Linked DNA regions of Drosophila melanogaster. Changing the gene in region 1 together with any one later gene gives a genetic interaction. Each region holds a gene or a part of one and is shown on either strand. Other genes may lie near its edges. The genes, in order: pip and snk.

Region 1 (5,259 bases):
CTGACTCCGTGTTTATGGCCGGCAGCTCTGTTTCTGGACCTGGCAACTCTGGCCCGTGGACTTGGCCAAAATGGCTTTGATGGGCGTGGGCGACAAAAGGACCGGAAATCGCTAACGAGGCGTGGTAAAGCAGTTTTTGCAGTAAGTTTGAATATCAAGGTAGATACTCAAAAAATTGAATAACAAAGCATAATCAAATTTAATGGAGGGATCTACCTTGAATGTATTTTGTTATTATTGTATTACAGCTTATCAAACTAATCACTAGTATGTTTGTTGCTTTTATTTATTATTAACACATTTAAATATCTGGCTATTAAAGTTAATAATTTTGCAGTTCTTTTTATGCCGTGGTCATTAATATACATATAATACATATATCTACTAAAAGTATTCACTCTAGATTAATGCAAATTGATGAAATTATTTATTTATCGTACGCACTTACATATAACATATACATATAATATATTAATTTAGAATTTGTGTAAATAATAAATTTATTTACCGAATACGATTTTAAATTTCTTTTATATATTTAAGCGGATGTATTAAACATGCCAACCAATTAACATGGAAAACCTCGCTGCATAAAATACACTGCCGAGTATTGGCCAAATATAATATATACGCACACCTGCCACAAACTCACACAATCAGCTATTTGTGTTTGCACCTAGGGCCAATTGCAGTTGTTTACAATCGAGTTGGCCAGCTCAGCGCAATCGGCACAGCCACAAAGGGACAGTTGGCAGCAAAAAACCATGGCATCGGACCGAAGATATAGCCAACATATTGTGAGCGACCACAATTGGACAGCTGATAAACTTAACCCGAAAACCGACAGCCTAACAACTCGTCGGCTTTTAAGTTTCGAAATCGGAGAAAGAGTCTGATCATTCAGATAGCTCAATTATCTCAGTCGATTTGGACAGTCATCAATGCAATAGGCAGCAACTTTACAAGTTTTTAGCTACTCACTTTCTTGGTACCAAATGCTGAAATACCTTTAATTATTACCAGATAAACACAAGACATGTGCCGCCAACGCATTTCGTTTTAATTTTACTTTTATGTTTTGGCTGTTTTTATGTTGAGGCTGGCGTTTTTCCATTTTTTTGCAATTGTTATCGAGAAATTTACACGAATTTTCAACTTGTTGCTGAAATAAAAAAAGTTTAATAAGACTAAACAATCAGTTTTTTGTCGGTCCTAAAAATGTGGACCTATGCAGATAGTTATGGGTAAACGCTTAAATTCGACAGCCGTCTGACGCCAGTTAGTGGACAAGTCAGTTACAGTGAGAGTTAAAAGTTAAGGTACCTGAAAAAGATAATTTAAAGTAATATATGATAAGACACACTTAAATAAAAGAGTAAAGGTATAAATATATTGAAATCTAGTATTAATTCTCGTAAATTAAAAATTCGTACCTCAATTTAATTTTTAAATGTTCTAATTTAATCGGAAAAAAGATTTCTTTGAGGCACTGTGCCATAAGAGTCAACTGTTGAATAAGGGTCAATGAGCTTAGCTTTGTGGACAGCAAGTGGGGAGATCGCGGAATCCAACTCTTGTAGAAACTATAGATTTGAGTTTGGCAAAAATTAAGCTTAGATCCCGAAGTTTGGCTAACGAACGAGGCGAGAAGACAGACATCGAGAAGAATCGCTTATATATGTACGAATGGCCAAAACTAATCGATGGAAATTACAAAAGCGGGAAGGTCAACTTTTCGACTGTCCATTGGGGGGGATGGGTTCAAAGGTAAACCTGTTTTTAATTCTAATTCTCCCTTCCTCTATGAAGAAATAGAAAAAACTAAAGTTCTTATTTTTGCCAACGTGGTTTGGATCACACGCAATATGTTCTATTCAACCGAACAAATTACCATTAAGGTCGGTAAACCAGCTGATCCAATAAAGGATATTGAAACAAGTGCCCGAAATTCGATTCCTTGCGCAGAGAATAAAGACACTTCGCTGTTTGGACGACCTAAATAAATATGTCTAAGTAGATTAATGTCAGATGTGGGGTAATAATAAAAATGTTGCCACAGACAAATGGGCTACAGTCACGTCCCCACGAAATCAGTCAGCCAGCGAACAAAGAGCGATCAAAAGAGCGAATAAACAGAGCCAAAGAGAGTCGAAGAAAATGGTAAAAGCAAACAGTGGTAAGCCGCCGCTGCCAACGTCTTAAAGTTGGCCAAAAAGGCGGCCAAGTGCCCCCAGGAACATTCAGTCAAGCCGCGATCGCCGAGCTCTACGGACGTCTATATCTCTAAGTCTTCGAATCGTGAATCGGAACTCAAGTGAACCCAAGTGCCGACCGGAAAATTCTTTCGGCCAAGAAAGGTCTTCGAGAACTAAGATCTCAAGCGATTGTGTTTTTTGTGTAATTGACATTGGATGTCTCTGAACGCCGAGCGATCGTACAAAATGAAACTGCGCGATGTGGAAAATGCCTTCAAATACCGGCGCATACCGTATCCCAAGCGGTAAGTGTGGTCTTCAGCCGAGAAAAAGGCGGCGGAGAAAAGATTTCTTTCACTCGAGAACGGTGTTCGTTTCAAAGGGGAAATGCAATTGAGTTCCAGTTTCAGTTAAATTGAAAACCGGTCATAATTGCCATTGAATGGCCAGAGAATCGAAATCGAGTTGGTAGATCGAAGATTGCGTTTGCCGCAGCGCTAAAGATTAAAAATACTCTGCTCTCGATTCTCCATAAAAAGCGCTTAACTTTCCGTTTTTCGCATCTGGCTAAAAGTGATAGTGTTTCAGGGTCGTTGTATTTGATAAATAAAATTAAATAAAAACTCCAATTGCTGGCCAGAGCAGTTCGAACATTCTTGACGGACTTTAAGTAGTGCCAGCCAGTAAATTAATTGCAGCTACACTAGAAGAAATAGATATTTTTGATCTTAAATTTAATATGAATCTCATCGACTTAGATGGGTTTATGTAGATCGACGAGCTTTAAGAACTTTATTTTAAAAAATTGATTGAGTACTTTTAATTAAGCTATGAAAAATTGTTACGAATGCTGATATGAGCTTCCAAGTACTGTATCAATTGAAAATATTTTCAAAAATTTATATATACAAAAAGGGGTCTATTATTTATCCTTTTATTTTTTTTGTATTTATTATTTATACTTTGAAAATGTTTTCTTATATTTTGAAGACTTATTAAAAGCAAGTATTAAAGCTTTGTAAACACTGTACTTCAACATTTAATTTTAAATGTTTCATAAACTTTTCTCTGTGCACTTGCGTCTGTCGTTTTTTCAATCTCTGCTCCAGTTAAAAGCTACAATCTTGTTTCTATTTTTTATTGCGTTTTTCATTTTCAATTCTTCTCATAATTCATTTGGTGTAGCACCTCGGGGCGGCAGATGAAGAGGAGGAAAACCACAAAAGCCGAGCTCACTTCAACTATTTCAAGTAGCCAAAAGAGCCGTGTCTTACCACCATCCTACCACTGCATTGTGTGGGCCTGCATTTTTCGGTGTTTGTTCTGGCCTTTTACAGAACCCAACTCGGCTCAGTTCGGGCCAAGTCAGCTCAGATAAAAGTTAAGAGCCCCCCAACTTGACTGCCCGCTCATTAGTCGATGGTCGATGGTCGACGGCCGGCGGTTTCTGCGGCCGCCCATAACAATTTTGGCTATTAAAAGGTGTTTAGGCCAGAGAACTGAGCCACTGCGTCCGCTATTGTGAAAGATTCGCTCTTTTTTCCGTTTGTATGGCCAAATTTGTTGCAACGAGTGCGTCGAGATGTAAACTAATGATATACCGACTACACATGTTATGGGCTAATTGGCTTTTGGGAAACTATTTCTTACCGTTTTTGTTGACTTTTTAAAAGGGTGTGAGAATTTGCTTTTCATTAAGGCAAAACGTGGTGAAGTCATGGCTCACAGCTATTTGCGTATAACTGTGAGATCTTAGCTCAAGCTAATGGCAAATTGGATCAACGACATACATATGTTTTATATTTTATTTAAACATTTTCCCACTTATTGAGTCCCTGCTAGATATCCTTTTTTCCTATAAAGCCCTCGTTAATTTTCGCGAAGCGAGGCCCATTTCCCGTTTATTTGCAGAACAAATTATTACATTAAATGTATGAATTACTGGCATTAATTAAACACATGGCTTAAATGTAGATATGTGTGATACTTTCTGTGGTTACCGCTGGCTGGAGCATAAATTTTACGCTCATTTTGACAATTTCATGCAGCTGCAAACTCTCAGTCAATCAGTTGGCCACTCAGTCAGTCTGCCAATCAATCAGGTAAACATTTATTTTTTATCCATTTCCGATGGCCAGGCGACTTAGTGAAACGAGTAATCTTGCCATTTGCACAACAAAATAGTGCAAATATTTGAATATGGATATGATTTATCACAACAGATACGAATTGTCCTGCAGAGAAACATAAATACATAAATTCCCAGCCATATTGCTGCGTACACTTACGTCGTTATTTGCACAATTCTTTTGTACGCTCTCAAATTGATATTAATTAATGAAATTAATTGGTTTTGCTTAAATAACTCGGCGACAGATGTTTGGCAGCTTCATTATCCGGACACGCGATAAATGAGCATACGTAGAAAATGAGTTCGTTGCACCCAGTTGAGAAAAATCAGTCGGAATCGATTCGAATCGATTTGAAAAGTCAAAAAAGACAATTATACGCTCAATGAGTGGAATGAAGTGCAGTTATGCAATAATTTCTTTCGAATTAGCATAAATTACGTTTCTGATTTGCTTTCCATTTGGATTAGGGTTTACCTAATACAAAAAACAAAACTCACTCTTATTTTCACTGCAAGCCGAAGCGTGACAGAAATTATTTAGAACGCCCCAAAAGAAAGAGGGCGAAGACTCAAGCCGCGCTTGAAAAGACTGTAGCTGGCTCTTCGCTGCCGAGTCTACAAGTCTTCAAGTCTTTCTTCTGTGCGCCTTTCTCAGCAATTCTTCTCTTTCTTGCCAGTTTCTTTCTTTCTCTGGGCGCCACGACATGCAGTCACTTACTCTTTGGTAATTATATTCAGTGATGTGATTTGTTTTTCTTTTCTTCATTTTCTTTCGAGTTTTGCATGCCGTTTTGTTTTATTTTGCCTGTCTTTCTGCAATGGAAATGATGCATATTGGGAATTTTACACGCTGCCGGTGGCCCGCGGGAAAGTTAATTATTGCTGTCTGTCTGCGGCGGGTGGCAAATTAAAAAATAATTATTAACAAAAACA
Region 2 (4,945 bases), on another chromosome or scaffold:
TAATAGATTATGTACTTTAAGTAATGACTTACCTGAACATTATGGCAGACATAGTAGGCGTTTTCCATGGCGGCGTCATTGAAAATGTCGCAACCAATGGACTTTCCCACGCCTCCTTTCTTCTTGCCGCCCTCTTTCTTCTTCTTCTCCTCGCCTTCGCCACTTCCTGCATTACTGGATGTAGAATCCTTGCTATTACGCTTCTTTTTGCTCTTCCCTACCATTATTAACTTTTTTGCATATCAAAACGCAATTATTGATTAAATAAACCATTTCAGCACACCGCGGTGCCTAGCAACAAATGCAATCAATCTAACAATACAAAAAAAGACCTAGATAAAGTACTTTTTGCTATGCTTTAATTAAAATTAAAATTTTCTTTTTTTTACAACTTTTTGTTTGTGACATTTTATAGACTGCTTTTTATTGATTAGTAAATTCGCTATAATAATTAGGCCACACTATGGATGCTATCCAATCGATATAGGATGAAACACGCGTATAAACACCTGTAAAATGAATGAATTTGTAAAAGTATTATACATTTTATATATTTTAATATATTTTTATATATTTACCTGGAAGTTCACTGCGACAATATGCTCCATACGATGTGATGCCCACCAGGTAGTAGCGATAGTGTTTACGACTTGTGTGCCTTCGACGCCGACGTTCCAAGTTCAGTTGAAGCGGTCCTCCAGAATCGCCCTTTAAAATAATAATATTATATCTAAAATTTACCCAAAACTTATGTTCCTCACCTGGCAAGTATCGCGATTTTTCTCATAGTCATGGGCGCATATCTGACTTGTGAGTAATCCGTGGGGAGAACCTTCGTCGGCTGGCAGACTGGAGTTACACTGCTCAATGGGCACCACCGAGAGATCCAGTTCCGTGAGTATGTTCGTCTGCGGCTGGGCGAATCCCGTCGAGCCATAGCCCATGGTGTGCAGCTTGCCGTATGGTATGTCGTTCATGGGCCACAGGCGAACTGGCCTCACGAACCAGGTGTATTCCACCGGTCGATTCAGCTGGATGAGCCCGATGTCATGGTAGTTAAGACTCGCATTGTACAGTGGATGCAGATAGATCTGGGCAACACGTCGTCTTTGGGGCGCCACGTTGAGCTCCCATTCCTTGAGCTTAATGTCTCCGATTTTTACGATGTCGGGCGAGGTGCTATAAGGAAAATAATCCAGATATTGTCCAAAAGCTGTTCTTAATAATCTGTTATATTATCATATCTAATATACTTGCTTGTTAAAATGAAAAATTAAAGTTAATACCTATCAAAGGGTTATTTAGATATTTTAAGGGGTATATGTAAGTTAAGGAGACTTCGTATTTACTCTTGAGTATCATAAGATAGTTTATGTAGATAAGAAAGCTATACTCTGCCTAATTCTCTATAAGTTGTTATCCATAAAAAGCTCACCCATGAGTAGTCAGGCAATGAGCAGCTGTGAGCACGAACTCTTCGCTGATGAGGCTTCCACCACATTTGTAGTCGATCTCGTGGTTCTCGTTCCGGAATCCCAGAGCGGCCTAAGATCGGTTAAAGAGCGGATTAGTCGTACCCAATTAACTGTTAACTGATATGATATGGTGGACTTCGATTTGGATTTCGGCAATCGGAGATTTAGTCGTGTTTGTGTTGCGAACGGCGGTACTTTGGCGTTTCCCCCATTCCGGTTTCGTGCGATTTTATTTATTTATTTATTGGCCTTCGTTGATCTACGATTTTTGTTTTTTTTTTGGACTGCACCTTTATTTATTCATTACTTACCATGTGCGGGTACTGTCCAGGTGCCACAATGGATCGGCCATTGAAGTCGTCGTGCAAGTCCTCCGTCTCCGCGGTCTTGTTGTAGTTCTCCCCGTCCACTTTGCTTTCGGTGTTCAGGAAGATGTTGTGGAAGTTGCGATGGTGATTTGGTGGCGGACGACGTGGTTGCCACTGCCTGGGGCCATTGTCCCATTGCCGATGCTGCAGCGGACCTCCTGGACCTCCGGGGCAACCAGGTGGAGGACCAGGTGGAGGCGGGCCCGGTGGCGGAGATCCAGGCGGTGGTCTTCCACATGGCGGAGAAGGTGGTGGCGGCGGCGGTCTATAATAGCCGTAGTTATTAAAGTAGCCCGGCGCCCATTGACCGTTGTAACCGTAGCTATTGTAGTTGTTGAAGTCCCACCTGGTTGGATCCGGCACTGGATTCGGATTCGGATTTCGATACGGTTCCGGATACTGGGCGGGAAACTCCCACTGTCCGTTCACGTGAAATACGCACAGGAGCACACAGAGTGCGATGCAGGTCTCCAAAGGTCTCTTCCAATCCGCCATCTGTAGAGGTCTTGCTCGATTGACCGATTTAATCCGACTGGGATCTTCCAATCCACACTACGCGGAATTGAAACGCAGCGTCGCTGGCAAACGGTTTTATTGAAATTCATCCGAATTTATAATTGAGCGCCCGCATTAATTAATAAAAATACATTAAACAAAAAATCAACCAAGCCAGGCAAGGGTTTGTTTTGGGCACAGTGGTGGCTCAAATATTGAAGCTAATCGAAATTCTTTGGCCATTGTCTTCTGAAAAACTGAATTCCTCTGGGGTATATTGGTTAATTTATAGTTTAATCTGGAAAATATATACAAAGCCCTAAAGTATCTATTTTCATTATTTATGCCAGCTTCTTATATGAAATGTTTGAAAGAAAGTAAATAATGAAATCACAGAACTCACAAATAGAATGATAATACTTTGGTCTCTAATCGTGCATCTTCAATTGACATGCTTGCATTTAATCCTGCAGACTCCAAATCTTGAGGGTAAGTAGTAAATCAATCGTATATATTAATGGTGCCTCTAATATTATATTAATTAAACCCACAGCTCTCGATGCCCTTGAAATAATCAACTACCAGACCACCAAGTACACAATCCCCGAAGTTTGGAAAGAGCAGCCAGTGGCGACCATTGGCGAGGACGTGGATGATCAGGACACCGAAGATGAGGAAAGCTATCTGAAGTTCGGCGACGATGCGGAGGTTAGGACTTCGGTTTCGGAAGGACTTCACGAAGGTGCCTTCTGCCGGCGGAGCTTCGATGGCCGGAGTGGATACTGCATCCTGGCCTATCAGTGCCTCCACGTCATTCGAGAGTATCGGGTGCATGGCACCCGCATCGACATCTGCACCCATCGCAACAATGTCCCTGTCATCTGTTGTCCATTGGCGGACAAGCATGTGCTGGCTCAGCGCATAAGTGCCACCAGTAGGTAGACTTCGAAGGATCGGAATAGTTTACATCCTAAAGATAATCCTTTCCAGAATGTCAGGAGTACAATGCTGCCGCCAGAAGGCTTCACTTGACGGACACCGGACGCACATTCTCCGGGAAGCAGTGTGTGCCCAGTGTTCCCCTGATAGTCGGTGGAACCCCCACTCGACACGGACTCTTCCCTCACATGGCTGCCTTAGGATGGACGCAGGGTAGTGGCTCCAAGGATCAAGATATAAAATGGGGCTGTGGAGGCGCCCTGGTTAGCGAACTGTATGTCCTGACCGCTGCCCACTGTGCCACCTCTGGTAGGTGAGTGACAGAATCCTCGAAGACACAACTATAACTGTATTTCTTGCTCCATCAGCAAACCACCGGACATGGTTCGCTTGGGCGCCCGCCAGTTGAACGAGACCAGCGCGACCCAGCAGGACATCAAGATCCTCATCATCGTGCTGCATCCGAAGTACAGATCCTCGGCATATTACCACGATATTGCCCTGCTCAAGCTGACCAGAAGGGTCAAGTTCTCGGAGCAGGTGCGTCCTGCTTGCCTGTGGCAACTGCCGGAGCTCCAGATACCCACTGTGGTGGCCGCCGGTTGGGGACGCACCGAGTTCCTGGGCGCCAAATCGAATGCCCTGCGCCAGGTGGACCTGGACGTAGTCCCACAAATGACCTGCAAGCAGATCTATCGCAAGGAGCGACGTCTGCCCAGGGGAATCATCGAGGGGCAGTTCTGTGCGGGATATTTGCCAGGCGGCAGGGACACCTGCCAGGGTGACTCCGGCGGTCCCATTCATGCCCTGCTGCCGGAATACAACTGCGTGGCCTTCGTGGTGGGCATCACCTCGTTTGGAAAATTCTGTGCGGCTCCCAATGCCCCAGGAGTTTACACCAGGCTATATAGCTACCTGGATTGGATTGAGAAGATTGCCTTCAAGCAGCACTAGTTTCATTTTATTTTATTTATTAAATATGCTTTTTAAAATTTTTAATTTTTTCAACAATTGTTTTAAATGTAATAATTTATCTTTAAAAAGTTGAAATTGCATAGAACACATTTAATTTCTCAAAAGAATCAAGGCCATACTTGTTGTTCTATCCATTGAATGTAGTGCGCTATTCGCACATAAACTCCAGGTTGACCGGATGCACAGGCTCCTCCAAAGGACGTTATACCCACCACATAGGGTATCGTATGGCGATGATGGCGCATGTGTTGGTGGAGCAACAAGGGTCCTCCAGAATCGCCCTGATGAAATCGAAGATCACCAGTCAAATAAAACATTTAATATTTCAAAAACTTTTGACTCACCTGGCATGTGTCCATATTGCCGGAGTAGTCTCCCGCGCACATTTGACCCGATCCCAGGCCATTGGCCAGTTTGTCATAGTTGTGCAAGTACCTCTGGCATTGTTGGAAATTCAGGTGGTAAAGCATGATTTGCAGGAGATTACTGGAGTGTGGTCCAGCTGTTTTATCAATCAATGATTTAAGTTATAATGAAAATCTAAATCCGGATAAAATGGACACTAACCGAACTTGGTTTGTCCATAGCCCAGGGCAGTGAGCGGTCTCTCGGGCAGGGATTCCTGGTTCCACAGGCAGGCCACTGGCATGTGTGATCTTCTGGCCAACTTGACCACCGCCAGGTCATTGGTAA

What was found.
Region 2: of pip (region 1) and snk, changing one enhances a phenotype caused by changing the other (phenotypic enhancement), as found in Drosophila melanogaster (one study listed by BioGRID).

Annotation. Positions count from the first base shown.
Region 1 is NT_037436.4:19,334,583-19,339,841, reverse strand, and holds the start of pip (pipe), read left to right. Parts: upstream 1-2,232; 5' UTR 2,233-2,411; coding exon 2,412-2,500; intron 2,501-5,259. UniProt on the Drosophila melanogaster protein: Sulfotransferase involved in dorsoventral axis patterning in early embryos.
Region 2 is NT_033777.3:13,039,485-13,044,429, reverse strand, and holds snk (snake), read left to right. Parts: upstream 1-1,659; 5' UTR 1,660-1,691; intron 1,692-1,786; coding exon of another isoform or gene 1,787-2,338; exon of another isoform or gene 2,339-2,380; intron 2,381-2,687; exon of another isoform or gene 2,688-2,688; 5' UTR 2,689-2,748; coding exon 2,749-2,827; intron 2,828-2,891; coding exon 2,892-3,272; intron 3,273-3,328; coding exon 3,329-3,590; intron 3,591-3,645; coding exon 3,646-4,231; 3' UTR 4,232-4,265; downstream 4,266-4,945. Other genes in the region: CG45122 (uncharacterized protein), read right to left, coding at 33-224; CG11670 (uncharacterized protein), read right to left, coding at 424-509, 579-708, 762-1,179, 1,436-1,545, 1,787-2,338; CG11668 (uncharacterized protein), read right to left, coding at 4,360-4,533, 4,597-4,754, 4,820-4,945. UniProt on the Drosophila melanogaster protein: Component of the extracellular signaling pathway that establishes the dorsal-ventral pathway of the embryo. A protease cascade involving ndl, gd, snk and ea results in activation of the spz Toll receptor ligand; acts downstream of ndl and gd.